Linked DNA regions of Arabidopsis thaliana. The protein of the gene in region 1 interacts with the protein of each later gene in a pairwise test. Each region holds a gene or a part of one and is shown in the gene's direction. Other genes may lie near its edges. The genes, in order: IAA6, ARF18, AT5G47790 and MP.

Evidence for each region.
Region 2: the proteins of IAA6 (region 1) and ARF18 interact in binary tests that used the Arabidopsis thaliana proteins (3 or more experiments, as listed by UniProt).
Region 3: the proteins of IAA6 (region 1) and AT5G47790 interact in binary tests that used the Arabidopsis thaliana proteins (3 or more experiments, as listed by UniProt).
Region 4: the proteins of IAA6 (region 1) and MP interact in a two-hybrid assay, tested with the Arabidopsis thaliana proteins (3 studies listed by BioGRID, with this or other methods).

What each region holds. Positions count from the first base shown.
Region 1 is NC_003070.9:19,671,124-19,676,968, reverse strand, and holds IAA6 (indole-3-acetic acid 6), read left to right. Parts: upstream 1-3,316; 5' UTR 3,317-3,409; coding exon 3,410-3,809; intron 3,810-4,001; coding exon 4,002-4,092; intron 4,093-4,220; coding exon 4,221-4,299; 3' UTR 4,300-4,493; downstream 4,494-5,845. Other genes in the region: CDT1 (cadmium tolerance 1), read left to right, coding at 5,109-5,157, 5,305-5,444. UniProt on the Arabidopsis thaliana protein: Aux/IAA proteins are short-lived transcriptional factors that function as repressors of early auxin response genes at low auxin concentrations.
Region 2 is NC_003074.8:22,884,942-22,893,250, forward strand, and holds ARF18 (auxin response factor 18), read left to right. Parts: upstream 1-2,947; 5' UTR 2,948-3,229; coding exon 3,230-3,275; intron 3,276-3,326; exon of another isoform or gene 3,327-3,546; coding exon 3,547-3,662; intron 3,663-3,745; coding exon 3,746-3,844; intron 3,845-3,914; coding exon 3,915-3,971; intron 3,972-4,062; coding exon 4,063-4,215; intron 4,216-4,293; coding exon 4,294-4,378; intron 4,379-4,465; coding exon 4,466-4,556; intron 4,557-4,635; coding exon 4,636-4,800; intron 4,801-4,890; coding exon 4,891-5,004; intron 5,005-5,076; coding exon 5,077-5,149; intron 5,150-5,237; coding exon 5,238-5,717; intron 5,718-5,798; coding exon 5,799-5,986; intron 5,987-6,096; coding exon 6,097-6,238; 3' UTR 6,239-6,514; downstream 6,515-8,309. Other genes in the region: AT3G61826 (uncharacterized protein), read right to left, coding at 1,690-1,782; AT3G61829 (uncharacterized protein), read right to left, coding at 2,250-2,381; AT3G61840 (auxin response factor, putative (DUF688)), read left to right, coding at 7,605-8,132. UniProt on the Arabidopsis thaliana protein: Auxin response factors (ARFs) are transcriptional factors that bind specifically to the DNA sequence 5'-TGTCTC-3' found in the auxin-responsive promoter elements (AuxREs). Could act as transcriptional activator or repressor.
Region 3 is NC_003076.8:19,348,694-19,355,654, forward strand, and holds AT5G47790 (SMAD/FHA domain-containing protein), read left to right. Parts: upstream 1-2,598; 5' UTR 2,599-2,702; coding exon 2,703-3,058; intron 3,059-3,132; coding exon 3,133-3,886; 3' UTR 3,887-4,802; downstream 4,803-6,961. Other genes in the region: GAUT4 (galacturonosyltransferase 4), read left to right, coding at 88-362, 441-798, 883-1,458, 1,549-1,824; AT5G47800 (Phototropic-responsive NPH3 family protein), read left to right, coding at 4,908-5,235, 5,467-5,536, 5,607-5,676, 5,758-6,903. UniProt on the Arabidopsis thaliana protein: Inhibitor of protein-phosphatase 1 (PP1). Binds to and inhibits PP1 activity.
Region 4 is NC_003070.9:6,883,092-6,892,712, forward strand, and holds MP (Transcriptional factor B3 family protein / auxin-responsive factor AUX/IAA-like protein), read left to right. Parts: upstream 1-3,577; 5' UTR 3,578-4,261; coding exon 4,262-4,394; intron 4,395-4,544; coding exon 4,545-4,660; intron 4,661-4,768; coding exon 4,769-4,867; intron 4,868-4,957; coding exon 4,958-5,014; intron 5,015-5,102; coding exon 5,103-5,258; intron 5,259-5,337; coding exon 5,338-5,422; intron 5,423-5,498; coding exon 5,499-5,589; intron 5,590-5,685; coding exon 5,686-5,850; intron 5,851-5,932; coding exon 5,933-6,055; intron 6,056-6,140; coding exon 6,141-6,352; intron 6,353-6,431; coding exon 6,432-7,585; intron 7,586-7,677; coding exon 7,678-7,868; intron 7,869-7,964; coding exon 7,965-8,091; 3' UTR 8,092-8,313; downstream 8,314-9,621. Other genes in the region: AT1G19860 (Zinc finger C-x8-C-x5-C-x3-H type family protein), read right to left, coding at 8,563-9,427, 9,525-9,621. UniProt on the Arabidopsis thaliana protein: Auxin response factors (ARFs) are transcriptional factors that bind specifically to the DNA sequence 5'-TGTCTC-3' found in the auxin-responsive promoter elements (AuxREs). Seems to act as transcriptional activator.

The sequences.
Region 1 (5,845 bases):
CCTGGTTAGCGGCGGCTATCTGGATCTCCTCGTAGAGGATGTGGCACGACGGAGAAGAAGAATGGAGAAGAACAAAGGAGAAGAAGAACGGAGAAGAAGATCCGGAGAAGAAGAACAGAGAAGAAGAACAGAGAAGAAGAAAATTTTAGGGTTTCGGTGTGTGCGGCTAGGTTTGAGCGCAGCTCAAACACGGTTGCAGTGTATATATATATTTAAAAAGCCTCGCAATTCCCTCGCAAATTTTGCTACGGACTTGCGAGGAAACGACTTATTAGGGTTTTCAACTTATTTGCGAGGGATTTGCGTCTTTCATCGCAAATCCCTCGCAAATTGCTAGGGATTTGCGAGGTCAATAGCAACTCCTCGCAAAGTATTCAAAAAACAAAAATTAATAAAAATATCCAAAAATTTCAGATATTTAAAATGAGAAATTTATTAAGAATTTATAAGTTTTGAAATTACAAAAAATCTTTAAAATTATAAAATTGAAAGTATATATAAATCATTTTCTGAATTATTTATTCATTTATTTATTATATTTAGTAAAAACATCAAAAGTAAACAATATAGTAACATTTATTCTTATTCATTTTCTGAATCATTACTATCATTTTTTTACTCAACGCTTTCAGCAGATTTGCTGAATTCGTCTTATTGTTTTTCTTCTTCGGAACCGTCTGTGATGTCTTCTAATTGTCTATTTTGTAGGTCAATGTGGATAACATCTTCTGTTGTTATGTCTGGTATGGAAACTTCTCTGAGACTTTCTTGTTACATCACAACATCATCAACTAGGCCGACTATACGGCCTCTGGAATTAACTTTAATAACCGATAACCACACTTCACGCCTAGGCCTCACACGCGGGTAAGATAGAAAGCTTGTGATGCTAGGATAAATGGTTTGAACTTTGCATAAGTCTTGTTTGCATTGACATCGACCACGAATGATTTTGCGGTTGTGATCTTAGATCTTGGTTCTTGAACGATCTCATACAACCAAAGTAGTAAAAGTTCATTTTCACATCCGTTAGTAACCTACATAAAGTAGATTTTAATTAAGTTTATCATTTCAACATAAGTCATTAAGATATCAAAATTTCCAAATATTACTTACATATAATTTTAACCATCCAGCGAAATCACGATCTTTGTAAGTTTCGTCGCAAAAATTCCCACAGAACAATATTTGTACTTGCAAGTCCCTCGCAATTTGCAATGACTTTGCGAGGAATTTTTTCGTCCTCGCAAGTTCCTCGCAAATTTCACGCAATATTGCGAGGGAATTATCCCTCGCAAAATTTGCGACGGAAAAGCGACGTGTCTTCTCTCCCTCGCAAATGTCTCGCAAATCTGTAGCAATTTGCGAGGGATTGTTTCCATCGCAAATTGTCCTCGCAAATCGCTTGTTTTCTTGTAGTGGTATTTGGAAGTTTATAAGGTTTATCAACTCCAACTTAAATACTTCTTCCGTCTTTGATACTAGATGTTTAAATGTTTTGCACACAAATTAATTAATCATTTATTTTTATTTATTTTTTAAACTAAAAATCATTTATTATGTACCTAAATACGATTCAACAAATAATAAAACAACCTACAGAACTTAAATCGTGAAAACAATTAAAAAAATTTACATTGAAAGTTGAAAACATTATCTAGTTTAAAACACATTTTTTTTCTTCTCTAAAATATGAAATATATAAAAATATCAAACTGAATCATTCTTTTTTCTTCTTCTTATGATCTCTGTCTTTCTGTTAGATTATATATATGAGAATCTTATATTTGTATATATCTAATATCTTAGGAACAGATTTATGCTTATCTCATGTAACCCTATATATATGTTCAATACATAACTCTCCATTCACGGAGATTCATACAATTACACTTTCATTATCATCACACTTGTAAATACTGAATTTTATAGTTGCCTTCATGATTTCGAACTAGATATATATTCTGTTGGTTCTGATTACATTTATATACATAAATTTATTCCAAGTTGCGTGTTATTTATTTGATCAGAATTAGTATATGACCCAAAAATAAATATTCAAATCAAAGTTCATGCGGTTTCATCATTTAGCTACGCGATGTAGGAACATACTTGACATCTTATTTTTATTTGGTCGTTCTTCTCTATGAATCACGTGGAAAAGTATACCAAATGATTTTTGGCAGATACGTATTACTAAAGTATCCGAGATTAAATATTAATACACTATATAGAAGAATTAATGGGACATAAATCATAAATGCATGGAAACATTGGTGAAAGACACTTAACACTTGGGACGACCAATGTTGTTTGATATGAAGTGAAATTAACGCGTCTGCCTAATTGTTATGGTTCATATTATGTCACATGGACCAACTTCTTGTTCTTCTTCATTCAAGAACCAACTCACGTACACGTTTTTTCATTTTCTTCCCTCAAATATCTAGCTGTATATTATATTGCAAAATCCAGATTTGAATATGATCGATGCAAAAGATTGTTTATAGAGTAGAGTAGTAGACTAAAGAACCAGATTACTCTTACCTATTCAGATTATTTGTGTTATATTTTGTAACTAACTTAGGTCACTAAGTAACGAATTTAAAGCTAAATGCATCTATTCATTCTATCACAAAATCCAGCCGTTATTTTTTAGAAATGTGAACAAATATTAAGCATTAAGATATTTAAAATAGGAAAAATAATAGCCACAAATAAAGTAAATTAAAGAAGAAAAAAAAAAACATTAGTGATAGTCCGATGATAGACGTGTCCTATTGATTACATGTTATTTCCCACTCAACTTCCTTAATTCTAATTCCAATCCTTGATGTGAGGGTTTTTTTCTTCATTGATTCTCAAATCTACATTATGTGATTCTTGATGTACCTGTATGTACAATTTGTATTCAACTACCAAATAAAAATGTGAGCAAGAATAGGCTAAGAAATAATACTAATACAGTATCCTTAGAATACATAATTGTATATTATTAAGGATAACACATGTAATGTTTAGGAAAGATGGCCAATGATAAATCTTATAAGAAACCTAACAAATATTAACACCGGTAAGATTTGTTCTCTTAAAACAAATCCTATATAAACAAAAATGAAGAACAAGGACCCAACATATGTCTCTCATGTGACCGACCAACACATCCTCAGTTGACCTGTCTTTGGTCTAACCTTGTCTTCCTCCACAAAGCTAACAGAAATAATTATGAATGTTAGTCTCTTCCATGTGTCAGTATATTATTGGATCTTGTTGGAGCAACTTGACAACATATAAAAGCACGAGGCAGCTCAATACTATCATTCCAACAAGAGAAGTGCTTGAGAGAAAAAAAAAGTATCAAAACTTCATATAGCCAAATTTAAACAAAAAGAAAAAAGAGAAGAAATAAATGGCAAAGGAAGGTCTAGCACTCGAGATCACAGAGCTTCGATTGGGTCTTCCAGGAGATAATTATAGCGAAATATCAGTATGCGGATCGAGTAAGAAGAAGAAGAGGGTGCTCTCGGATATGATGACCTCATCAGCGTTAGATACTGAGAATGAAAACAGCGTCGTTTCATCAGTTGAAGATGAATCACTGCCGGTTGTGAAGAGTCAAGCGGTGGGATGGCCACCTGTGTGTTCTTACAGGAGAAAGAAGAACAATGAGGAAGCATCGAAAGCTATAGGCTACGTGAAAGTGAGCATGGATGGTGTGCCATACATGAGGAAGATTGACCTTGGTTCGAGCAACAGTTATATTAATCTAGTCACGGTTCTTGAGAATCTCTTCGGCTGTCTTGGCATAGGTTAGTAATGGCATGGACTAATTTCCCGTAACGTTAGTTAATAGTTACATGACCATGTTTATAATTGAGCTATAAACTTTATATATACGTATTGTTAGGGTTTCTATATATATTGGAAGTGTGAAGAGAGTAAAACACATATATTAGTTGGAACTTTATGAAATATAACACATGTATATATAAACTATGCAGGAGTGGCGAAGGAGGGTAAGAAGTGTGAATACATTATTATATACGAAGACAAGGATAGAGACTGGATGCTCGTCGGAGATGTACCTTGGCAGTAAGTTTATGTTTAGCTTGCATTACAATGCTCAATTATCAAATTTACCAAAATGAATATAATTAACCTCTTACAAGTCAAAAATTTGTAATTTTATTTTTTAAATTGTAAATTTTTTTTGTCGGCAGGATGTTTAAAGAATCATGCAAGAGGCTGAGGATCGTGAAGAGATCAGATGCAACTGGTTTTGGTCTCCAGCAAGATTAATCATACTAGCTAGTGTTGATCATCTTTAATTAACCATAAAGTTTGAAAACCGTTGAGTAATTTTTTTTCATTATAATCATTTTTCAAATTGTAAAATTTATATGATAATGATGATATATACGTTTTCTTCAAATGTATTTCCTTACTGGTCGTATCATACTTTAATGTTTTATGGCTCATTAAAGGTGTTTCTTAGCCTCACAATACTTTTTTTTTTCGTCTGAATGATTCATATGAAATATAACACTTGAAATTGTTCACAAAAGTACAAAAGGAAACGAGGGTAATCAACTACAAAAAAACCATAACAACAAAGTAATGCCTCACAATAGTTTGCTTTAGTAGTTTTCTAGACTTACTATTATTTTCTCTTAAAAATCAAGTGGTACGTGATTATTATAACTTTATAAATCCTCCGGCTAAATCATCTTTTTATCGCCGATCCAAAGATAGTGGAAACCTATGAATCTTAAACGGAGCTAAAAATAGTGAAAACCTAATGAATCTTCCCAACTAATTTAAGAAAGAATGAAAAATGTTAAATATTTGTTTTTTTCTTTCACCAAGAGCCAAATTAAAGCTGGCTTATTCCTATATCATATCAAATGTAGTTTTGGGTGAAGATTCTAACCACTTTGTCGGTCCAAATAAATGTTGCCATATCTTCCGTATTAAATGATCATATCAGTTTGCAGGTAGCAGATTTGAAGTCTATATATATACTACATCCAATTAATCCCAACCCCTAAAGTTATCAAGACACTCACGCAAAAGAATGAAGGCACCGCCACAACAAGAAATGACTTACTATGACAATGTCAAGAAACGGCAAGACGAACAAGGCTGCTTATTCGCAACGTCCGTACCAAAATATAATCTCTTCTCTTTTCATTTAGTATCTGTATCGTAGACCCTTTTGTATCATTTAGTATCTCTTCTCTTTTCTTTTTTTATTTATCGAATTCGGAGTTCTTGATTATTTGATAATCTTTTAACCTGTTGTAGGTTTTACGCGTTGTTCTGTTGCTGTTGCTGCTACGAGAAGTGCAAGTGTTGTTGCTGCTGCGTTTGATTTCTATATATGTATCATCATCTCAACATTACTCTCATTAATTGTGTCCCTCGCATCACAATTGCTCTTTTAGATCTACTTAGTCTTGCGAATAAAATGTATATGTAATGGCTCAAGAACTCTAAAAGTTGATAAGATTTGAGTACTGTATATATTAATGAACAAATTTTCACTTATCAAACCGGGCGAAACCGGGCCAACCAGTCAAATTTTCTGTATAATTCGCTTTCAAGTTATGTTCACCTAAATTTTGAACCGATTCCAAACAATACCAAACCGAACAAAATCACAAATGGTTTTATTGTTTTATAAACTGACTGATAAAACTAGAAACCAAAATTACCGCCAAAATCAAATATTGGTTTAAAACTTTAAATACACAAGTTTTTTTTTTTTCTTCTTCTTAAAATACATTAGAATTGGTTTCGATTATTTTTCAATTAATCGGATTTTATAAATAAATTCAAATTACCT
Region 2 (8,309 bases), on another chromosome or scaffold:
CATAATGGAAGACAGGGACGAAATGTGGTGTACGGTCAAATAGTAAAATTGTACAAAATAAGTTTGGTTTGTGGAAAGTTTGAAAGTTCAATTATTGCAAGAGGTTGAAGGTAAATACGACAGTTGGAATCAAATGTTATTTGCTTGACTGGGTTATCAACCTAAGCAAGAAATTTGGTTCTTAAAACAATCTAAACATATTGGTTTGATTAGTACTTCTTAATCTTTCTGCAATGATAAGTAGTGTACTGTTGATAACCATAACCTTATAGTAGAAGATAGGACCATGTTGGTATTTTTCCACAACTTTTCCTTCTCTTTTTACAATTCATAACAAATGAATACTGTCGATTAGTTCAATATATAAATATAAGTAATACAAATATTCCTATATTCTTGTAAAATGACGTGGTGACTATGACTAAACAGGTGATTAAGTATATTATCAAATATATCAATGGAATATAACAGTGATTAAGAAGAATAAACAAAATTAAAAGATTTTGTGGAATGGATTCCACTAAACCACTACGCAATTTAAAAATAAAAATACTTAACTAATGTATAGTTATTTATTCCCATCCATGCGTTCATATTCACTTTGAATGATCATATTCGTAATCCTATTTATTTATTTTACTATTTGAACCTTTTGTGTGTATAAATAATTTCAACTAGAGAGAATATCCGCAGCAGCTCGTTAAATTAGTCATTGAATTAAAAAAAGATATTCAAATTTTCACCCAAGAAAAACGAACGCAACTAAAATGACGTTCAAATTTGGCATCATCTTTAGGTGTATATTATTGTGAGAGATATGCAAGCATGAAATCTCATGCAGGATAAGAATCATTGTTAAATTTATTTTAATTCCGTTATATTTATGGTAATATCATCCTATTACCTTTTCTAAAATTATGTTTCACTCTTTAGTTCAACCTTTGGTGATGAAATTCGATTCTTTCATATCTCGTCTCCGCTTTGCAAGGATTTGTCCGTACAATAATCATATGCACTATTTTAATTATTTTTTTGTTGGGTGGGATTCAAAAAAGTTTTTTTTACCCCTCTATCAGCTAGTTAGAGAAGTGAGACTATATATGATTCCAATCAATAATACATCACATCTATATTTCGTCTTGTAACGCGGCCACATAATCTTCATCAACGAAGCTTGAATGTTGTAATAGTGTTTCACTATCAACAACACACATTTGTAGGCCTTATGTAATTAGCGAGAGAACTCTACAGTCTACACTATAACTTTGAGTGGAAATAAATACTCGTATATGGTAACATAAAAATACTATGAACTTATGATTATACAAACTTGTAAGTAAAAAAGAGTGGTAAGGCTATGTAATATCGTCGACGTTTTCTAGGTAAATCTTAAGCTATAAAAAAGATTTTGAAACCCAAATAGTATCGAGTGATAGCATTAGTCTCATCGGGTGGTTACAAGCCAACATTGATTCGTGTTGCAAATTTTATTAAATACAAGGGTGTACACAAATCAAAACGCAATAATATTTTTGGATCATAGTCTTTCTTCACTATCATTGGGAAAAATAAAATAAAATAAGAAAAATAGCGATAGAATTTCCTCTGTAAATGAGCAAAATTGGTAGGACAAGTCAGCATTTGACACGTGTCGGTCATGAATACGACTAAACAGCGTGGCAATTTCTCTTACTCTGACGTGTCCATGTGGGGACCACTTTCTCCTCCGACACTTCGGCATGGCTTTCTCAACTTTTTATCACTCTTCTTCACCATTCTCATTTACTAAGCGCGTGTCTCCCACCTCTATCCGATTTAATTTTTTAAATTTGACGTTTCAAAAGTTCCTTCTATAAAAGCAATTAACGATAATTATATGAAATCCGTAAACATGAATTTTTCAAATAATTTCGATTTTTGATTTGCTAAGATTAAAAGCGCGTGAAAGAAAAAAAAGAATACAGCATGAACACCAGCGACTCAGAACTGACTCGGCACGTGGTAACATAAAACTCACACGCTTCCCAAGACGCTCGTCCCATAAAGAGTCATGGCTGTGACCTTGTGCGAGTGTGGGTGTAGCCATAGCCTTTGTGGGTCCTAAATAAAAAAAACGATCAATGGCATAATGTGTAATTAACTCACATTCCACAGTGTTAAATAAAAATTAAATCTGTAACGGAAAAAACAATCTATCTGATGTTACACAAAAAAAAAAAATAACGGAAAAAAGAAAATGTGGCCGGGGTTTAATAGAGAAGCCGACACGTTTGCCTGCCACGATCCAGACACAAGACGATGTGGGTAACGGCACCGTCAAGTGCTAACGGCAACGGGGTCATCAGTAAAAAGGGCAATTTAGGGATATAGAGTAAAGTCATAAGCTTATTTATTACTATCGTCTTGATCGGACGGCTGAGATTTGCCCTCTCCTTTAAATGCACCGTACGTTTTTTTTTTACATAATAAAATGTAATTAGTTCATAAGCAATTCCCAAAACGCCGCGTGACCCTTCGTTTGCCTTTGAATACAATTTGTTTTATTTTAGCGCATTTAATATATTTGAGTTTCCTTTTTAGCGATGACATGATAAAACAAAAAACAACAATTTTAGAAAACATTTAATTAAATGAATAGAAAAATAGGGAGATTCAACTGAAGTTACTGTGGGTGGAAATGACAGGTCTCCAGGATCTGAACTAAGAGAAAGTCTCTCTATATTTTGATATATAGAGAGAGATAAAGAAGGAGAGAGTGTGAATATATGTATGTGCATGATACTGTGAGACTTCTTCAGTAAAGGAAGCAGCTTTGGTTTGCTGCGGATCGGGATAAAAACGGCGAGAAGTTTGTGATTGTTGAAGCAAAACAACACGGAATCTGAAAGGAAAGGAGAAGACAAAAAAAAAAAAAGATTTTAAGAGGAAGAGAGAGAGAGATCGGTTTCGTGGCTGACGGAAAAAAAAAGGGGAGAGATTTAGTTTTATCCAACAGTGCCTGAATTACGTTCTGCAATCAATACGGACATAACCGTCCGTTGTGTCCTGTTTATAAAGTTTTGCTTTTTTTATTTTCTCCATTGATGGGTCTTTTCTTTCTTCTCTCTCTCGTGTTTCTTTCATGGGGTTAAGACTAGTGTTTACCGCGTGAAGGTTTTTTTTTCTTTCTATTTTCTTTCATTTCCTCTCCTTCTACTTCTTCTTCTCCAGTTCTCATCTGGGTTCTTCAATGGCGAGTGTTGAAGGTGATGATGATTTCGGAAGTTCTTCGTCAAGTGAGTAGTAAAAGGCTGAGACTTTAGAAAGTTTTGTTTTTTTTTTTGTTTCTAACAGTGACTCTGTTTGGGGTTTTACTCTGTAGAATCAAAATCAGCTTTGTAAAGTTTCGATTTTTTTTTCTTTCATTTTCTCGGGAGACGAGCTTAGAAAGAAATAGAAAAAACCCCAACTTTCTTATTTTTCTCGTATAGCTTCAAAGTTCACATTTTTGTTATAGTTTTGCCGCGGAAATGTGACTGTTAGGGTTTTGTTGTTGTTTGATTTTAGGGTCTTATCAAGATCAACTATACACAGAGCTATGGAAAGTTTGTGCAGGTCCATTAGTGGAAGTTCCTCGTGCTCAAGAGAGAGTTTTCTACTTCCCTCAGGGTCACATGGAACAAGTATATACCCACCCAAAAATCATCTCTTTTTACCCCAATTTTTCTTTTTCCATTCTCTTTCTAAATTCTGGGTTTTTTTGCAGCTTGTGGCGTCAACTAATCAAGGAATCAATTCAGAAGAAATACCTGTTTTTGATCTTCCTCCAAAGATACTTTGTCGAGTTCTTGATGTCACTTTAAAGGTAAAGTTGGATCATAAATGTTAAAATGTTTTATTTCCCCTGAATCTGTTAACTAAATTTTGATTTATAGGCGGAGCATGAAACAGATGAGGTTTACGCTCAGATCACATTACAACCAGAGGAAGATGTAAGTTCTTAAAAAAAAAACTCAACTTTATTTCAGTGAGTGTTAATTTATATTGATTGGAATTGATTTCAATTTACTGTTTTGTTTGCAGCAAAGTGAACCAACAAGTCTTGATCCACCTATTGTTGGACCAACTAAGCAAGAGTTTCATTCGTTTGTTAAGATTTTAACGGCTTCAGATACAAGCACTCATGGTGGATTCTCTGTTCTTCGTAAACACGCCACTGAATGCTTGCCTTCTTTGGTAAATATATTCTTAAAGAAACCTTCTCAATTCAAGAAACTTTAGCTTGAATTCTCACTCCAATTTTACACTTTTTAGGATATGACACAAGCTACTCCTACTCAAGAACTTGTGACTAGAGATCTTCATGGCTTTGAATGGAGGTTTAAGCATATATTCAGAGGTATTGATTCTAATCTTGGTGTGTTTTTGTGAAACTGTGTTTGGACTAAATGAGACATTGACTCATTGAGTGCCGTTTTTGGTTTAGGACAACCACGGAGGCATTTGCTTACTACGGGTTGGAGTACATTTGTATCCTCGAAAAGACTTGTAGCTGGAGATGCTTTTGTGTTCTTGAGGTACTTTTGAAATTGAAACTTTATTCACTGGTCTTGTTTAGTTTCATGAACCTAAATGTAATGCCTTTGTGTTTTTCAGGGGTGAGAATGGGGATTTACGGGTTGGAGTGAGACGATTAGCTCGGCATCAAAGCACAATGCCTACTTCGGTTATTTCAAGTCAGAGCATGCATTTGGGAGTTCTTGCTACAGCTTCTCATGCTGTGCGTACAACAACAATCTTTGTTGTCTTTTACAAGCCTAGGTATATAGTAATGTTCTTTAGATGATTTTGCTTTATATACATAGATGGTTTAGGACTCTTTGATTGAAGAAAAGTTTTCTCTCTTTGCAGGATAAGCCAATTCATAGTTGGGGTGAACAAGTATATGGAAGCTATAAAGCATGGATTTTCTCTCGGTACCCGATTCAGAATGAGGTTTGAAGGAGAAGAGTCTCCTGAGAGAATGTAAGAATCCATTTTCTCTGATCATTTCTTTTTTGTCAGTGTTCTTGATTCTGAAACCTGGAACGTCTTCAGATTTACTGGTACGATTGTGGGAAGTGGAGATCTATCTTCACAATGGCCAGCTTCTAAATGGAGGTCATTGCAGGTTCAGTTAACCATTCCACGTTCTTACATTTTAGTGTTTTACTTATTACGTGGTCTTTATATAACGTTTTTGTCTTGGTCTTTCTTAGGTACAATGGGATGAGCCAACAACAGTTCAGAGACCAGATAAAGTCTCACCATGGGAGATAGAGCCTTTCTTGGCAACTTCCCCAATTTCAACTCCTGCTCAACAACCACAATCGAAATGCAAGCGGTCAAGACCCATCGAGCCATCAGTTAAAACACCAGCCCCACCTAGTTTCTTGTACAGCCTCCCTCAGAGCCAAGATTCCATTAATGCATCCCTTAAACTGTTTCAAGATCCATCACTTGAGAGAATTTCAGGTGGATACTCCTCAAACAACAGCTTCAAACCCGAGACTCCTCCTCCTCCAACGAATTGTAGCTATAGGTTGTTTGGATTTGATCTCACAAGCAATTCTCCTGCTCCAATCCCTCAAGACAAGCAACCGATGGATACTTGTGGAGCTGCCAAGTGTCAAGAACCCATCACTCCAACCTCAATGAGTGAGCAGAAGAAGCAACAAACATCAAGAAGTCGAACTAAAGTAATTTTCTTTATCAACTCATATAATAACATAGCAACAATGTTTTGAAAATCTGATTTCTTTGATCTTGGATTGAAAAAGGTGCAAATGCAAGGCATTGCGGTTGGTCGTGCGGTTGATTTAACACTGTTGAAATCTTACGATGAACTGATTGATGAGCTTGAGGAGATGTTTGAGATTCAAGGACAGCTTCTTGCCCGAGACAAATGGATCGTTGTCTTCACTGATGATGAAGGAGATATGATGCTTGCTGGTGATGATCCGTGGAAGTAAGTTCTAAAATAACAGAGTTAAACATTTCCGGTTTAGCTCAAATCAGTTAAATGTGAACTTAAACCGGAACTGATTTTGCAATGTTCTGTTGTGTGGGATTGTGCAGTGAGTTTTGCAAGATGGCAAAGAAGATATTTATATATTCGAGCGATGAGGTTAAGAAAATGACAACGAAACTGAAGATTTCTTCGTCGTTAGAGAATGAGGAATATGGTAATGAATCATTCGAAAATCGTAGTAGGGGGTGAGAGTTTTAGCTGTTAATTAAGGTTAATTCGGCGACGTCGTTTTAGTGCGTAAGTGTCTAAAGACTTTTTTTTTAGTCTGTGTATATAAAGTCTTGTCCTCTTTTTCATGTCAATTTTTCAAGTTGGCGATTTAATATTTCGGTTTTGGGACAGTGGTTGATGGGGCGGTTTTACATCTTTTATGTGTATGTACTTGTTCCATAACCATTCAATTTTCAAAACCAAGTACATTCAATTAGTTATGGGTTCAAAGATTATATTTCTAATCAATAATTAAGGCTTAAAAAAAAAAAAACTACAGTATTAGAGAAGAATACAAAATACGTGAAGGCGTGGAAATCAACGCGGCGGGCATCATATGAAAGTCATGGAAAAGTAAAGGAGTCAAACGACTAGTTAAGATTCTCTTTTGGAGTTGGTAAAAATATTTGTGGATTAATGAACTTCTAGGATATAGTGTTATTAGAAAATTGAACTGAAATCGAAAAAAATGAAAACTAAACTTTGGAAGTTCATGTTATCGTGCCAAAAATAAGTCTCCATGATGTTCTCTATAAAAATTCTTAAGTTTTAATTTCCAAACCTTTTAGCTGCATCAGATTTTTCTTTAATAAAATGCAAATGACAAAAGAAAGAAAATCTATTTTGTTTTCGGATAAAGTCACATATGAAGTGTATACTGTAGTTGATATTTGTCAAAAAAAAAAATATTGTTTTAAACTTTTAATTCAGATTTGCCTTATAATGAAGAAGAAAACAATACAATTATTTTCAAACTTAGTATTGGTTTGGTGGTGGTTATGTACTTATGTAGTATGGAGCAACTGTTTTTTTTTTGCTAAAGATTAATTGTTTTTGGTATGGAGAAATTGTTTTACTTTGACAAAAACCAAAAAAGCCTCAAGCTAACTAAACTGAATAGATTTTGGAGCTGTAGTATAGAAAAAAAAAAAAAACATTTTTCTGTTTGGATAAAAGATTTGTAAAAACATTTCTACCTTTATAAATGATATAAAGTTTCAGTCCGAACAAATCATACAAAACGAACATCCATAGGACCATCATACTCAAAGTATGAGCTACAAATATCGTACTCCATTAATATAAAATCAAACAAAACTTAAATTTTCATACATATACTAAGAAATTAATAGGTGACAGAAAACAAAATTAAACACGATCGTAGTTTTAGTTGTAGTCGAATTAAATCTGACTAATTTTCCTCAACCAAAGAGTACGGGTTTGACTTTCAGTTCGAGGAATGGTTATAGTTAAACAGCGTTGCATCTTCAATGACAATTACATATATTTAATCCATTGTCTTCTTCTTCAAACGAATCATAATAAGCAGAAACAAGAAAGAGATATGGTTAAAACCCAAAAAAAGAACAAGAAAGATACAAGTTTTGACGCAGACGATAATGAGACGATGATAATCATCACATCGAAACTTCAACATGTATTAGCCGCGAAATCGAGAAGGCTACAATACTTATCATCACCGGTAACGACTAAAGACGTGTCATTGTCACTCATGTCGTCCCCTGATGATTCACTCTCTCGCGCTTCGATTCCTTTCTCATGGGAAGAAGAACCTGGCAAGCCTAAACACCATGTTCGTCATCCTTCTTACTCCAAGTGTCTTGATTTGCCACCGAGGATGCTCTTTCCTGACGAATTTACCAAAATGCCTCGGACAGCGAATCATGGTCGTTATCTCGCCGGGTGGAAACGGTGGTTCCGGTGGAAGAAAGAGAGAGATGGTGATGCTTATGTGGCCGGAAGTGGAAGTTATATTTATCCATCGGAAGATGAAGATGATACCAAGACCACAAGAACAAAAGGTCTCCATTGTTTCTCTTACGTCACTAGGTGTTACTTCTGGGTAAATTAACCTTAAACTTCATTCTATTTCTTTAAAAAAAAAATTCTCTTGTCTTGTCAGAAAGAACATGTTTGTATCTTCTTTTGTTTTGCACGAAGTTCCATGGAAGAACAAGAAGCTGAAAATGAAAGCTTCTGTGAGAGCTTTTTAAAAAAATAATACAAAACAATACGCCGTCGTTTACTT
Region 3 (6,961 bases), on another chromosome or scaffold:
GGAGAATCAGATTGGATATTCCCTAAGTTGATTGGCTCCAGATTTGAATTTGATGCTTGGTAATAGTATATATTTGGATCCTTGTAGGAAAATATGCATGTTCAATTGACCCAACAAACCTCTGAAAAAGTTGATGAGCAACCAGAGCCTAATGCTTTTGGAGCTAAGAAAGATACTGGAAACGTGTTGATGCCTGATGCTCAAGTGAGGCATCTTAAAGATCAGCTTATTAGGGCAAAGGTTTATCTTTCCCTTCCATCTGCAAAGGCCAATGCTCATTTTGTGAGAGAGCTTCGACTCCGTATTAAAGAAGTTCAACGGGCACTTGCAGATGCCTCCAAGGATTCGGATCTGCCAAAGACGTAAGTGTTTCTCACCTCTTGAAATATATGTTTCTTCCTCTTTAACTGATATTTCTCTGCCATTTTTTTGAACCCCAGTGCTATAGAAAAGCTAAAAGCAATGGAGCAAACACTGGCCAAAGGCAAGCAGATCCAAGATGACTGTTCTACAGTGGTCAAGAAGCTACGTGCTATGCTCCACTCCGCAGATGAGCAGCTACGGGTCCATAAGAAGCAAACCATGTTTTTGACTCAATTGACTGCTAAGACCATTCCTAAAGGACTTCACTGCCTTCCTCTGCGCCTCACTACAGACTATTATGCTTTAAATTCATCTGAACAACAATTTCCAAATCAGGAGAAACTAGAAGATACTCAGCTGTATCACTATGCCCTTTTCTCTGATAATGTTTTGGCTACGTCAGTTGTTGTTAACTCTACCATAACCAATGCAAAGGTAAGAATTAACTTTCTTCTTTTGTTTGAACATGTAACTGTGTTTCTTTCTGTTAAACTTACGGTCTTAATGGTTTATTGGCAGCATCCCTTAAAGCATGTCTTCCACATCGTCACAGACAGACTCAATTATGCGGCAATGAGGATGTGGTTCCTGGACAATCCACCTGGCAAAGCCACCATCCAGGTTCAGAATGTTGAAGAATTTACATGGCTGAATTCAAGCTACAGTCCCGTTCTCAAACAGCTTAGTTCTAGATCGATGATAGATTATTACTTCAGAGCCCACCATACAAATTCAGACACCAACTTGAAGTTCCGGAATCCAAAATACTTATCGATCCTTAATCATCTTCGTTTTTACTTGCCTGAGATCTTTCCCAAGCTCAGCAAAGTGCTCTTCTTGGATGATGATATAGTTGTGCAGAAGGACCTTTCTGGTCTTTGGTCAGTTGATCTGAAAGGTAATGTTAACGGTGCTGTAGAGACGTGTGGGGAAAGCTTTCATCGCTTTGACCGTTATCTGAACTTCTCAAATCCACTCATTTCCAAGAACTTTGACCCTCGAGCTTGTGGTTGGGCGTATGGTATGAATGTCTTTGATCTGGATGAATGGAAGAGGCAAAACATCACAGAAGTTTATCATCGATGGCAGGATCTGGTATGCAGAAAATATATATATGCTAGGTCGCATCTGTTTTGATTTCAAGAATGTTTGCTAATCATATACACGAACGATTTTAAACTGCAGAATCAAGACCGAGAATTGTGGAAGCTAGGGACGTTGCCGCCTGGTCTAATCACATTTTGGAGACGAACATATCCGCTAGACCGGAAATGGCACATACTAGGGCTTGGATACAACCCGAGTGTGAACCAAAGGGATATTGAGAGGGCAGCCGTGATACACTATAATGGCAACCTCAAACCATGGCTAGAGATTGGGATTCCAAGATACAGAGGCTTCTGGTCAAAGCATGTAGACTATGAGCACGTTTATCTCAGAGAATGCAACATCAATCCTTAGAATTAGAGTCTGTTGTGAGGGCAATATTATACGTTTATAATCTGACGAGATGATCATTACATGAAATTGTATATGTCACGGTAAAAGGAGTTCCAATAGGCACGACCGATGTTATTATTGCAACATATATATCAACAAGAGGAATGACAACGAAACAATGAAACAACTACTTTTCGTATTCCTTTTTGTCGCTGTTTATGTAAAGCAAGTGACAATTGACATAGGTCTATAGGAGACTTTAGACTTTAATCAAATTTGCCAAAGAGCAATACAACATAAATAGTCAAGCCGATTATCGAACCAGAGTAGCATGAATATTAGCCCAGTGAAGACGAAAAGAGATTCGAATCGGAATTACGTGAATGTGATTTCGAATGACTCTGACAATACGTTTTGACTTGTGTAGTTTATTGTATATTCAGTTTAACTCTGTCACCCGCCGTGTTCAACCTTGCTGGTTCAGAGTTCCACAGGTAAGTTTTTCATAATTTTCTCACGCTGCAGTCCACTTGAGTAGTACTCTAACACAATGTTACAGGTTGGTATGGTTGCCATCAACGATGGGATTCTACTTCGTAATCACATCCACAGGATTCTCAAAGCATTTCCGTGAAAAGCCTTACTATCTTGACCTAGTTGATTTGTTAGGATATGAAATTCACTGATCCATAAAAAAAAACATAGGGGTACGTTTAGAAGAATACATAAAGTATAGGGACTGAAGCTGCAAATTTATGTTCTCAGTAGATGTTCGATCTTTGGACAGAATTGAAGAAAGGAGAAACCCTAGACTGAGTCTGGTTACTTGAAGGGGATCATGTGAATACGTCGACTGGTAAAGAAAGAAAGATTGCTGCTTTTTAGATTTAGATTCGAGAATGTATGGAAGATCTGGTCTTGACAGGTTTAAGAAGTCCCAAACTTCGGAACCCTTCTCTGTATCAGCAAATCCTCCTCCGGTGGTACAACAACATCTGTCTCCGGAGGCATTGTCGGGGCAAAAAACTCAGATTGGAGCTGGTCAATCAAACTGGCATCCCCCTGATTGGGCGATTGAGCCTCGTGCCGGTGTCTACTCTCTGGAAGTTGTGAAAGACGGCCAGATCCTTGATCGGATTCATCTAGATAGACGAAGGCATATCTTCGGGAGACAACATCAGACTTGTGATTTTGTCCTTGATCATCAGTCTGTTTCCCGCCAGCATGCCGCAGTTGTTCCTCACAAGAATGGCAGGTTTGTCATCGCTACTCAATTCTCTCATCACAGCTTTGGCCACTGTTGACATGAGTCTTTTTTATTTTTTGTAGCATCTTTGTGATTGACTTGGGATCAGCTCATGGTACGTTTGTTGCAAATGAGAGGTTGACTAAAGATACTCCTGTAGAGCTTGAAGTGGGTCAATCCTTACGATTTGCTGCCTCCACAAGAATCTACCTTCTGAGAAAGAACAGTGAGGCTCTCTTTTCTCGCCCTCCACCTCCAGCTGAGATTAAGCTTCCTCCACCTCCTGATGCTTCTGATGAGGAAGCTGTTGTTGCTTACAATACCTTGCTGAATCGATATGGTTTAAGCAATGGAGAATCTGGTGGTATGTTAGGGAAAAGGAAAGAGAAGACCGGATCAGAAGCGGGAGTGGCTAAGAGGATGAAGAAAGTGAGAGTGAGCTTCAGGGATCAACTAGGAGGAGAGCTGGCTGAGATTGTTGGCATGTCTGATGGAGCAGACGTGGAAACAGAGCCTGGTCCTATAAATGTCAAAGAAGGAAGCCTCGTTGGGAAATATGAATCACTGGTGCGAGTGACACTCATACCCAAAGGCAAAGTGAAGGAAGAGAAAGCCTTTACAGGAGGAACAAGAGGAGGTGTAACAGATCGACTCCAGGAAGCTATGAATATGTTGAAACGGGGTCCAAAAACAGGGATTTACGATGACCTTTACGGTGGTGACTCACTTGCCAAGGCTGTTGGTACGTCATGGGCTTCTGTGAGTCAACCAGCAGCTGAAACTGAATGTGGAGGGGTTGGTGAAGAAGATGATAACGACGATCTGTTTGGTGACTAACTGATTTTGAACACTGAGATTCCTTTAAGTAACTCTTCTTCTTCTCTAATGCCTACATTCCATTCCAAAGGCATTGGTATGTTGTTTCCTCTTTGTCTATCCAATGGCTGCAGCAAGAAAAGAGAGCAGCTCTAAGCCCAGGCCCATTGTCTTGTGTTATAAGTAAGAACCCTGAAATTTGATATGAGCTTGAGCCTGGTCAGTGGTCATTCTAGTTGTGGGTCTTAACAGGAGATGCATTACATAGATAGTCATTACAAATAGTGTGGAGAGTAGAGAGTAGGGCCAATGCAAATGGAGTGCATTTGATTAGACCACTACTGACTTACAGATTCTCTCCTCAAGGCAGACCAATTCCATCAGAAGAGGACATTTGTACTCAAATACCTCTCCTCTCATTCTTTTTCACTTTTGCCTTTTTGCATTATTAAAACAGCACACTAATGATGTGGGTTGACTTCCCTCTCCCCCACAAAAACAGAGATTCCATGGGGGGAAATGGACAACAAGTAAAACACTTGTAAAAATGGTAATCTGCCTCTGATGCTTTAAGATATGATTTGGGGATCAATGCATCTTTGCTTTGGGATTTGCTTTGTGACAGTTAGTATAAAGAAGAGAGAAGCTGAATGTGCTGCAACCAAATTAAAACTCTCTTTTGAGTTAAGCCTATATCCAACTCCTACTCTTCCTAGTGTGGTCCATTGTATTTATCATAAGAGTAAACTCGCTTGTAATAAATTATAGTAGGGAAAGGTGGAAGACCCACTTTTGTTTCTCACTTTCTTTCTGTTTGGTGAGAAGTTGTTTTCCTTATGCAAAAGATGGAATGCATGAAGGACACTTGTGTCTGGCTTTTTATTTATTTTGGTTGTGGATACTTTCATGATATACTTTACGACCTCAACCCTTTAATACCACACAATCTACCTCCATTCATCTTTTCTCTTCTCTTAATTTTCACCTTATCTCCCAACGAGACCATAGAGGAGTTACTGACTCCAACTTATAGCTACTAGCTATGCTGCGTAACTCTCTTAAACACTACCTTGGCACCTATGACAAATATGTTAGTGAGCCAACTTTTCTGGCTTTGATTTTCAAACCAAACAAGTATGAAGGAAATACATATCAGACACCATTTGGAGACTTGAGTCCATGCGGGGAGCAACAAGTGACGAGGCCGGGACCCTTGTTGCCATTCAACTCTCTCTCTCTCTTGGGATTTAATTTCACTAACACTTTATGTCAATTTGATCATTACCACTTTCACATCTCTCTCTCTTCTCCTTCTTCTTCTTCTTCTTCTTCCTCCCTCATATCAACCTTTGAGCACACCAGTTTTCATGGTAAAATCAATCATCCTTTTGCTTTATCTTTTTCGTTTTTTTTTCTCTCTCTTTTGGTTTTCAGAATTGTATCATAAACAGACTACATGTGAGTTTGTATCATTTAGGAATACATATAATAAAATTTCAGCTTCATCAATATGTAATTATCTTCCTGTGTCTTTCCCACTTTTACCTAAAGATTTGATCACTTTCTCATCATATGTATATATATATTCCTCTTGAACGCAGAGAAGTCTAGGATGAAGTTCATGAAAATCGGAACAAAGCCTGACACTTTCTACACTCAAGAGGCTTCAAGGTTGTTCCTTGATCTCTTTGCCTCTAAATTTCCCAAATTCCATTTCTCTGACAAAATTTTTACACTGCAGGATTTTGATAACAGACACACCTAACGATCTTGTTATTAGAATCAACAACACCACTTATCATCTCCACAGGGTATATATCTCGATTGACTCTCTTATCATAGCAGCACACACATATATGTATGTTAATAGTGGTTTCCATCTTTGTCTGCAGTCTTGTCTTGTTCCAAAATGTGGGCTGTTGCGAAGGCTTTGCACTGATTTAGAGGAGTCTGATACTGTTACCATAGAGCTGAATGACATACCTGGTGGAGCCGATGCTTTTGAGTTGTGTGCTAAGTTCTGCTATGATATCACAATCAACCTCAGTGCTCATAACCTTGTGAATGCTCTCTGTGCCTCCAAGTTTCTTCGGATGTCTGATTCCGTTGACAAGGGAAATCTGTTACCAAAGCTTGAAGCTTTTTTCCACTCCTGCATTCTCCAAGGCTGGAAGGACTCCATTGTCACTTTGCAGTCCACTACCAAATTGCCAGAATGGTGTGAAAATCTTGGAATCGTCAGAAAGTGTATAGATTCAATTGTGGAGAAGATCCTCACTCCAACTTCAGAGGTCTCCTGGTCTCATACATACACCAGACCAGGCTACGCGAAGAGACAGCATCACTCTGTTCCAAGAGACTGGTGGACGGAAGACATATCAGACCTCGACTTGGACTTATTCCGCTGTGTCATCACAGCAGCCAGGTCAACCTTCACGTTGCCACCTCAGCTCATTGGTGAAGCTTTGCATGTCTACACTTGCCGTTGGTTACCATACTTCAAATCAAACAGCCATTCAGGTTTCTCAGTTAAAGAAAACGAAGCAGCACTGGAAAGGCATCGGCGTCTTGTTAACACAGTTGTGAATATGATTCCTGCAGATAAAGGGTCGGTTTCTGAGGGTTTTCTGCTGAGACTTGTTAGCATAGCGAGTTATGTGAGAGCATCTCTCACAACAAAGACTGAGTTGATTAGAAAATCTAGTCTGCAACTCGAGGAGGCAACTCTTGAAGACCTCTTGTTGCCTTCACACTCATCCTCTCATCTCCATCGCTACGATACCGACTTGGTTGCTACAGTTCTTGAGAGTTTTTTAATGCTCTGGAGAAGACAGTCTTCTGCGCATCTTTCTAGTAACAACACTCAATTGCTGCATTCAATCAGGAAGGTGGCAAAGCTTATTGACTCCTATCTTCAGGCAGTCGCACAAGATGTCCATATGCCAGTTTCCAAATTTGTGTCTCTTTCTGAGGCAGTGCCCGACATTGCACGCCAGAGCCATGACAGACTTTACAAAGCGATCAACATATTTCTCAAGGTATCAGATGCTCTGGCCTGCTCAAGGGCAACTAGCTATGGTTGAGAGTCTCACCAAC
Region 4 (9,621 bases), about 13 Mb from region 1:
ATCACACAGAGCAGCATATGAACATTGGGTGGTTTGTGGCGACTCGTGGCCGTGACTATTAGAACGACGTCGTGATGCAAAAAAGTAATCGTTCGCATGAATGACACGTGTACGTAATCGACGGTCAGGAGAGATCCTAGGGAAGTAGAGAGAGGACGTGTGTGAATTACCAAGGCGTTGAACGACGTGAAAGAGCGCGTGCGGCTCGATTCTTACGTCGTTGAATATTGACCGTCGGATCAAAACTCATCGATCCACATAGATGCGTGCGCGAAGGCACATGCCGTTATGAAGGGTTCTCGATGAACATCACGTGTCCTCTAGGGATTGGCTATTATTGCAAACTCCGTTTTATGAGGCAAAAAGACAATTTAACCTTTTTAATTTTTATCTATTTGGTAATAAAAACATTTTTATTTCGTTTGTTTATTAATTAATTAATGAGGTTATTAAAGGTGCCTTAGCAATAGCAGGTAGGCACTTAATTTAATAGTCCAAACTCCAAAGCTAATTAATTTAAAGGACACAAATCCTAATAAACCCCAAACAGTTATTTGCGACCTTTTCTTATCGAAATCCGTTCTTTGAATTGTTTACTTTTTGATCGATTTTAATAACAAGATTCACAAACACATATAAGTGATTTTTTAAAAAATGGAATGAGAAAATAAAGAAAAGAATTTGAACGGTTAAGAATATGATAATCACGAAGATGGCATGATATTATAGTTGGAGTGGGTTACTTGGCGAAAGAATCAAATAGAATTTTCATAAATTTGGAATGTGACGTGTACTTATTTCTCCAAGCGTTACCTGATTTTCGTATTATTATTACGGATTCGTGATCTTCGTATCCCATATGGTCAATCGTTTCTATTTCACTTGTAAATTACAATATCTCGTTCACTGTTCTATAACATACTATTACGTGCTAAGTATTACTATTGCACAGATCATCTTGAACGGTAATCGACACTTACCCGGGTTAATCAGTATTATTACTTTCATTATTCTAACCAAAAATTAGGTTGCACTTGCCCATGTGTACGACACCAATTACCTTCAAAAAGTTTCTTCAAAGTATCTTCATCAACTTAACGTAAAATTTTAAACCAACATAAATGTTTTTGGTTAGCCAAAAGTTAGTTAAAATTTCACTACGTATTATACATTTTTAGGTTGCTAATCACTTATTGTTCCACTACATTTTTATTCTTTCCAATTATTCTACATGTTATATCTCCATTTTACATTACTTGGTCCACTGTCACTGTTAAAAGCCACCACTATTTTATGTTTTTTTTTCAATTACTACGATTTATAAGATTTGTACTATATTATGTTACACCAATATGGAAGTATACTTTTTGTGATGATTTAAGAAAGTAAATCTAGTGGCAGTAAGTAAAATTATAATGAAACTGTTTTCTTATGGGATTAATAGGAATCGGTCTTTGCTTTGTTAGTTTGGCAGGAGAGAGAGGTAGGTAAGGATGTGAACTGTGAAGCGCAGAAACGGCGCCGTGTCGGTCCAAAAATCATTTTCAAAATAACATTAAAATACACGTGTCGAGTATGCTAATGTACGCCTCCTCTTCCTCTCTTACTCAACCATTGATTTGCCGTCCACTTCACGCGTGCCTAGCGGTCAAAATTTTCAGACGCAAAAGCACCAAATAATGCTTTTCACTTTCTTTTTTTCTTTCTTCATTTCTTATTCTTGTTTTTTTACAAGTTTCCAATCTACATAAGACAAACTAACGTTTAGGAAGGATTCGGATTGATAATCTGCATACACTTGATTTTGATTGGTATCCTTTTCTTTGCATGTGGTTAAAATTTGGTATGGTAAGAGTTTTTATTTTTATGAATTTAGGATTATTGAAGGCATTGTCACAAATGATATACAGTAGAGAAAAAAAAAAACGATACAAGAGAAAACAATTGATAAGAATGATAAAATTATATCTAGTAAACCTCATCGTGGGATGTTATTCCTCGTTATACGTAATGACTATTTGTTCCAAAGATTTTGCTGATGGCACACAATCTTGGCACCGGAAATGAGAGTTTTTCCATTATCATCAAAAGCATGTTTCACTCCTTGCTAAATTTGAACTGTATATTAAAATGTGCTGCCAACAGCAAATTCCACACATTATATACTTGATTGGAGATCCTTTGATTCAAATATATCTTAGTGACAAACGCGTATCCGAATAAGTAGTTATGTTTATATAGATATTCTATCATAATGATGCTACTATATATCCACTTATAAATTATAATATGTTTGATTATTTTTCTCTAATATGTGATAATGTGGATTGTGTACTAATCCTATATATAACTTAACTATGCTCATTTGTATTTTGTTTATGAGTAATATTACATGAAGGAAAGCGATTTTTATTTACGTATGATTGATAAGTAATGATATGGAAAGTGATATGGTTTCATATCATACAATATAATACAATGACCGCATGTCAATTATTTCGTCGCAAGAAAACAATGGAAAGGTCAAACTAGAGATGTGTGCGTAAAAAAAAAAAATGTATGTAACTAAAAAGGTCTAAAGATGTAATGGTACACACTATACACAATTAGACATAATTACACATGTGGTTTAGAGTATTAGATATTAATAATGAGCAGAACAAGCTATGTTTACAGGTGCAGAGAACCAAGATATTCCTTTCTTTTGGTTGTTGTAGATACAAATATATTTTACAAAGCTCAATTTCAATACAAATGCAAGAACCACAAACAACAGTCCTTTCAATTTATTTGGAGGTGGTCTTAACTCTTAAGTATATATAAACAATACCACCTTATAACTTTTAAGTTTTAACTAAACCATACTTAAATCTTTTTTAATCTCTATACCAAATCTTGCAAATATCAAAATAACTTTTTCTAACCAAAGAAAGAAAACATTTTTGAAGTCCTTAACTTGGAAAGGAAAAGAACACCCGGGCAAAAAAGATTGGAAGATACACTTCCTCCCGTAACCTCTTTAGGCTTCGTGCTAATATACGCTATTTTGACATTCTCTCCTATCATACGCACCTTGTATTAGAGATCTCCCAAAGTCTCACCACTCACATCCCTTTTACGAAATCTCAGCAAGAAAAGATTAACATTTTGAGAAAAGTATATATTATTGCAACGAAAAAAGAAGCCTCCTCCTTTGTCATAAAGTTCTTAATCAATTTTAATTTATTGCCATAATCAAAAAACATTTTATATTTTACAAAGTTCTTGAAAAAGTAGGACACTTTTTAAAATAATATTCACTCATGGTACTTATTTTAAGCTTTATTATCTGCCTTATAACATAAGCATTGAAAGTACTTGTACATTCAACTACGTTTCTGTGCGTATCAGAGATTACGTGTGCTTACTCTACTTTATTAAATTTTTGACGTAAACTGTTCTAAAACATTAAATAATAATATAGATGTATCTATTGAAATACCAAAACTTTATTTTATAATTAATGGGAAACAATAAAATATAATATTATTCGTTTAAAGAGTCTAAAGCTGCAACGGCATCGCCATATACAGAAAGTTTTAAGCGCAGGATAAGAGCATGCACACTCTTTCCCATTTCCAAGCAAAATAAAACCTATACATACACATTTATACTAATACTCATATACATTAGAGAGAGAAGAAGAAAAAATGTGGGATTTTTCAGAGAAATAATTAAAAGAAAGCAAAAGTTTTTTTTTTCTTAAAAGCTTTTGTCTCTCTCTCAATTGCTTCTTGTTCTTGTTTGCATCCGGAACCAAAGAAAGAAACTGTGTGGTTTCATGATGGCACCTTTGGTTTCTCTTCTTCATTGAAGGGTCGAATTTGGTCTGAGAAAAGAAGAGTGGAGAGAGAGAAAGAGAAGAGGCAAGAGCCCCACAAGAGAGACATGCTTGTCTGTGTAGTCCCTATTTTGTATGTTCTTTAATCTCTCCCACTCTGTTTTTGTCATGTGTAAGGGTTTTGTCCTTCGATTTTGGAGTCTTCTTTAACCAAAAAAAAACAGATTCCATGAAATGGCTTTGTCTTTAATTCCTCTGGTTTGTCCTGGATTTATCTTCTTGTAGCCTCTTTGCTCAATAGAGCTCTTTTTGTCTCTTCTTGTATTAAATAAAATAAAATGAAGACTTAGTAAAGAAAAAGAAAAACTCTTGAGTCTTGCTAAAGCCTAGTTAGTGTTGAGTGTGGGAGAGACAAAACAGAACATTGAAAAATCTCTCTGTATGATGGCTTCATTGTCTTGTGTTGAAGACAAGATGAAAACAAGTTGTTTGGTTAATGGTGGAGGAACTATAACAACAACAACATCTCAATCTACCTTGCTTGAAGAGATGAAGCTGTTGAAAGACCAGTCAGGTTTTCATCTTCTTCTTTCTCAAGATTTTTATTAAAAAAGTTACCTTTTTAAGAATAAACTGTGATAACAAAAGGTTTCATAATTTATGCTAATGACATTTAGAAATTTTGTTACTTTCCCCTAAAAATGCGATTTTGAACATTTTTCAGGTACAAGAAAGCCGGTAATAAACTCGGAGCTATGGCACGCTTGTGCAGGCCCTTTGGTGTGTCTCCCTCAAGTTGGGAGCTTAGTGTATTACTTCTCACAAGGTCATAGCGAGCAGGTAACTTTGTGTGTCTTAAAGAACAAACAAACACATTGTACTTCTCTAGATCTTGTTAGCTCCTGTTCAAAAGGTTTGATTTTTTTTGTTCACTTTTTGACTTATTAGGTTGCTGTTTCAACCAGAAGATCAGCAACAACACAAGTTCCTAATTATCCGAACCTTCCATCTCAGTTGATGTGTCAAGTCCATAATGTTACTCTTCATGTACGCCAATCTTTCTCATTTGCTTCGTATCCAAACAAATTGCAACCAAGTTTGATATTTCTTGACAATGGTTTTGTTCCCCTTTGATAGGCTGACAAAGACAGTGACGAAATCTATGCTCAGATGAGTCTTCAACCTGTTCACTCTGTAAGTTTTGGATTCTTGCAACTTCCTTTTGTTTCATTTAAGAACTCATGTTGAAGTTGAATGAGTTTGAATGGTTTGTGTGCATCAGGAGAGAGATGTGTTCCCTGTACCAGACTTTGGAATGCTGAGAGGAAGTAAGCACCCGACTGAGTTTTTCTGCAAAACACTTACTGCAAGTGACACAAGCACACATGGAGGTTTCTCAGTGCCACGTAGAGCTGCAGAGAAGCTATTTCCACCATTGGTGAGCTTCTCTTTTCCTCATATGTTCCTATTGCTTTAACTGCTGCTAGCCTGCTAATGTTATGTTAAATACATTGCAGGACTACTCAGCACAGCCGCCAACGCAAGAGCTTGTAGTTCGAGATCTTCATGAGAATACTTGGACATTTCGCCATATCTACCGAGGTATAACCACTAGATTTGTCTCTTTCTCTGTTTAGATTGAGTTGGTATTGAGCTCAGTTCCTGCTTACATTCTCAGGGCAACCAAAGAGACATCTCCTAACTACAGGATGGAGTTTGTTCGTTGGATCGAAGAGATTGAGAGCTGGGGATTCTGTTTTGTTCATCAGGTGAAAAACCTTGGCTATTGAGATATTTTGGCTCTGACTCATTTTGGTGTTGCTTATCTTCTGACTGTCATTTGTCCTTTGAAAATGTGCCAAAAGGGATGAGAAGTCACAACTTATGGTCGGTGTTAGGCGTGCCAATCGCCAACAAACAGCACTTCCTTCATCAGTTCTCTCAGCGGATAGTATGCACATCGGTGTTCTTGCTGCTGCTGCTCACGCAACCGCCAACCGTACTCCTTTTTTGATATTCTATAATCCAAGGTTAGCTCAAAAGCTTCTTCAATCCTCAATGATATAAAACTATTTTCTTAGTTGTAACGTAACTTATGGTGTTTGTTCTCAGAGCTTGTCCAGCAGAGTTCGTGATCCCTCTAGCTAAGTACCGTAAGGCGATATGCGGGTCTCAGCTCTCAGTTGGTATGAGATTTGGAATGATGTTTGAAACTGAAGATTCCGGGAAACGAAGGTAAGTTATCCGTAAACTGCAATCTTTCTGTTTTTGTTTATCAAATTTGGTTGTTCACTTATACACGTTTTGGTTGTGTATTTAGGTACATGGGAACTATTGTTGGAATCAGCGATTTGGATCCGTTGAGATGGCCTGGTTCTAAGTGGCGTAACCTTCAGGTAGAATGGGATGAGCCTGGATGTAATGATAAACCTACTCGGGTCAGTCCATGGGATATCGAAACACCTGAAAGTCTCTTCATTTTTCCTTCTCTGACCTCAGGACTCAAACGTCAGCTCCATCCATCTTACTTTGGTGAGTAAAATATAAGTGTGCCTTGTTGTGAACTTTACATGAGATTTGCTGCCTTAAAGTTTTGTTATGAAATATGCAGCTGGTGAAACTGAATGGGGTAGCTTGATAAAACGGCCACTTATACGTGTTCCTGATTCCGCGAATGGGATTATGCCATATGCATCTTTCCCTAGTATGGCTTCGGAGCAGCTTATGAAAATGATGATGAGGCCTCACAACAACCAAAATGTACCATCTTTCATGTCTGAGATGCAGCAGAATATTGTAATGGGGAATGGAGGTTTGCTAGGAGATATGAAGATGCAGCAACCCCTGATGATGAACCAGAAATCTGAGATGGTGCAGCCACAAAACAAGCTAACAGTGAACCCATCTGCTTCTAATACGAGTGGCCAAGAACAGAATCTTTCACAGAGTATGAGTGCTCCTGCTAAACCTGAGAACTCTACACTCTCTGGTTGCAGCTCTGGTAGAGTCCAACATGGACTTGAGCAGTCAATGGAACAGGCAAGCCAGGTTACTACATCCACAGTGTGTAATGAGGAAAAGGTTAATCAGCTACTTCAGAAACCGGGTGCTTCGTCGCCTGTACAAGCTGATCAATGTCTTGACATTACTCATCAGATTTACCAACCACAGTCTGATCCAATAAATGGATTCTCTTTCCTGGAAACTGATGAGCTGACATCACAAGTCTCTTCCTTCCAGTCTCTTGCCGGATCATACAAGCAACCATTCATTCTATCCTCCCAGGATTCTTCAGCTGTTGTGTTACCGGATTCCACAAACTCACCGCTGTTTCATGATGTGTGGGACACTCAGTTGAACGGTCTCAAGTTTGACCAGTTCAGTCCCTTGATGCAGCAGGACCTTTATGCTAGTCAGAATATCTGTATGAGTAATAGCACAACCAGTAACATTCTAGATCCTCCACTCTCAAACACAGTCCTTGATGACTTCTGTGCCATCAAAGACACTGATTTCCAGAACCACCCTTCTGGTTGTTTGGTTGGAAACAACAACACTAGCTTTGCTCAAGATGTCCAGTCGCAGATCACATCAGCTAGCTTTGCAGACTCACAGGCCTTCTCTCGCCAAGATTTTCCAGATAATTCTGGAGGCACTGGTACATCTTCAAGCAATGTTGATTTTGATGATTGTAGTCTGCGGCAAAATAGTAAAGGCTCATCATGGCAGAAAATTGCGACACCCCGCGTCCGAACCTACACTAAGGTAAAAAGATTATCTCTCATTCATTCCACAAATTTCTTGTGTCACAATCTGACATGAAACTTTGGGGTTTGGGTAATGTTTTGACTTGGCAGGTTCAAAAAACCGGGTCAGTCGGGAGATCAATTGATGTCACAAGCTTTAAAGACTACGAGGAGCTAAAATCTGCTATCGAATGCATGTTTGGATTGGAAGGACTACTAACTCACCCACAAAGCTCGGGTTGGAAGCTTGTATATGTTGATTATGAGAGTGATGTTCTGCTTGTAGGAGATGATCCATGGGAGTAAGTCTCTCTCTCACTGTTCTGTGAATCCATTAACTTCATCTGACTATCAGTCTTACAATAGTTTTCCTTACATAACTACATAAACTGGTGCAGAGAGTTTGTGGGATGCGTAAGGTGCATAAGGATATTGTCGCCAACTGAGGTCCAGCAGATGAGTGAAGAAGGGATGAAGCTTTTGAACAGCGCAGGCATTAACGATCTTAAGACTTCTGTTTCATAAATGTAACAATATAAAAATGATCTCATGCTGATTTGTAAGAAAAAAAAGAGAGTAAGAAATGTTCTTTTCTCCAACTGGTAGAGGAGAAACCATCTTGTTGTAAGCATTTGATGTGTTGTTCCGATTTGAGACCTGAAACTATATTCATATTATGTAGTAGAGTGATGAATGAATCAGTAGTTGAGACAGTCTTAGAAATCTTGTGATTATTTTACTCTTTTTTCTGCACAATGTTAAAGATAAAAGTGTAGAAAATCATCTTAAAAACACTAGGGATAGTATAAGTACTACTGTGATGGTGAGCCAAATAATACTCGCTAATTAATTCTACATTTGTGGCATAAAACCAAGAAATAATTTCAAATGTATATAAAACTTATATTGCAGTAAAGCCAGGCAAGAGAAAATAGAAAAATTGCTCTGCTGCTAACAGCAAGAGGCAGAGAGCATGTGTGGTATGCTAATTCTGCATCAGTCTCTGTCAAATCTCATTCTTTTTGCATTCTGCATATCAGAAGTGTTGATATTACCATTGTTTAGATTCCTCGGCTGGTAGGGTGTAGCATCGTGCTGGTACATACAATTAGCTCCATGGCGACAACCCCTTGCGCTGTTGAAGTACATGCAAGCCTTCATTATCTTGGGTTTTGAATCCCTTGGCCTCTGGTTATTATTACTGCTATTTACCATCTCCGGGTTAGGTCCTCCTCCAGGTTGGAGGTTGTATCGATAACCGAGATGTTGAACTGGCGGCGTCTCTTGTCTATCCCCGCCATGTTGCTGAATCAGGTTCTTGTAATAACTAGCATCTCTTGCTGGCGGTGCTCCATAGTTCGGTTGGTCTTGAGGAGCGTGAGGAGTATACGCCATGGGAGGAATATGAGTTATGGGTGGCTGAGCGTAAAATTGTCCATTTGAGGAAATAGGTGCCGTGGTTACTACTCCGTTGGCTTCATGTGTTGAAGATGAGTAGAGGCTACTTGTGTTGGAGGAGACTGAACCTGCACTGCCACGATTTGCAACAAGATTCTCGACCAACTTAGGGTTGCTTAGGATTTTAATAAGCAGATCTTGGTCGATCATACTGCCTTGTTCTTTGCTGTTTGAGATTGCAGATAACGCAGCCATTATATCTGGCCCTGCAGGGAGGGTTGAAGAAGTTGATGTGTTCTCATCGGTTATTGATGGCTCTGTTCCCACATCCACGCCAGATTGGGTTGGGAAATCAGATGCTGAATCCATCGCTATGTCATCATCTTCTACAGGTAGGATGGGTATGACAATGGTTTGCTGATCATCATGATGTGAGTCCTCAACATCAGCTGGAACCGAAGGGCTGCAGATTGGAGTTTAAGAAAAGGCCCAAGTCAAAAAAAAAAGTAAAAGGGTATGCAAATGTGTGTTGGAAGAATATGTAGGGGTTAGATACGGACTTTGGAGGAATAGATGATGCGCCAGGATAAAATGCTTCAAGAACTCTCAATTCCCTCTCATTTTGGGCCTCCACTTCTTTGCTTTCGTCCCCTGCAA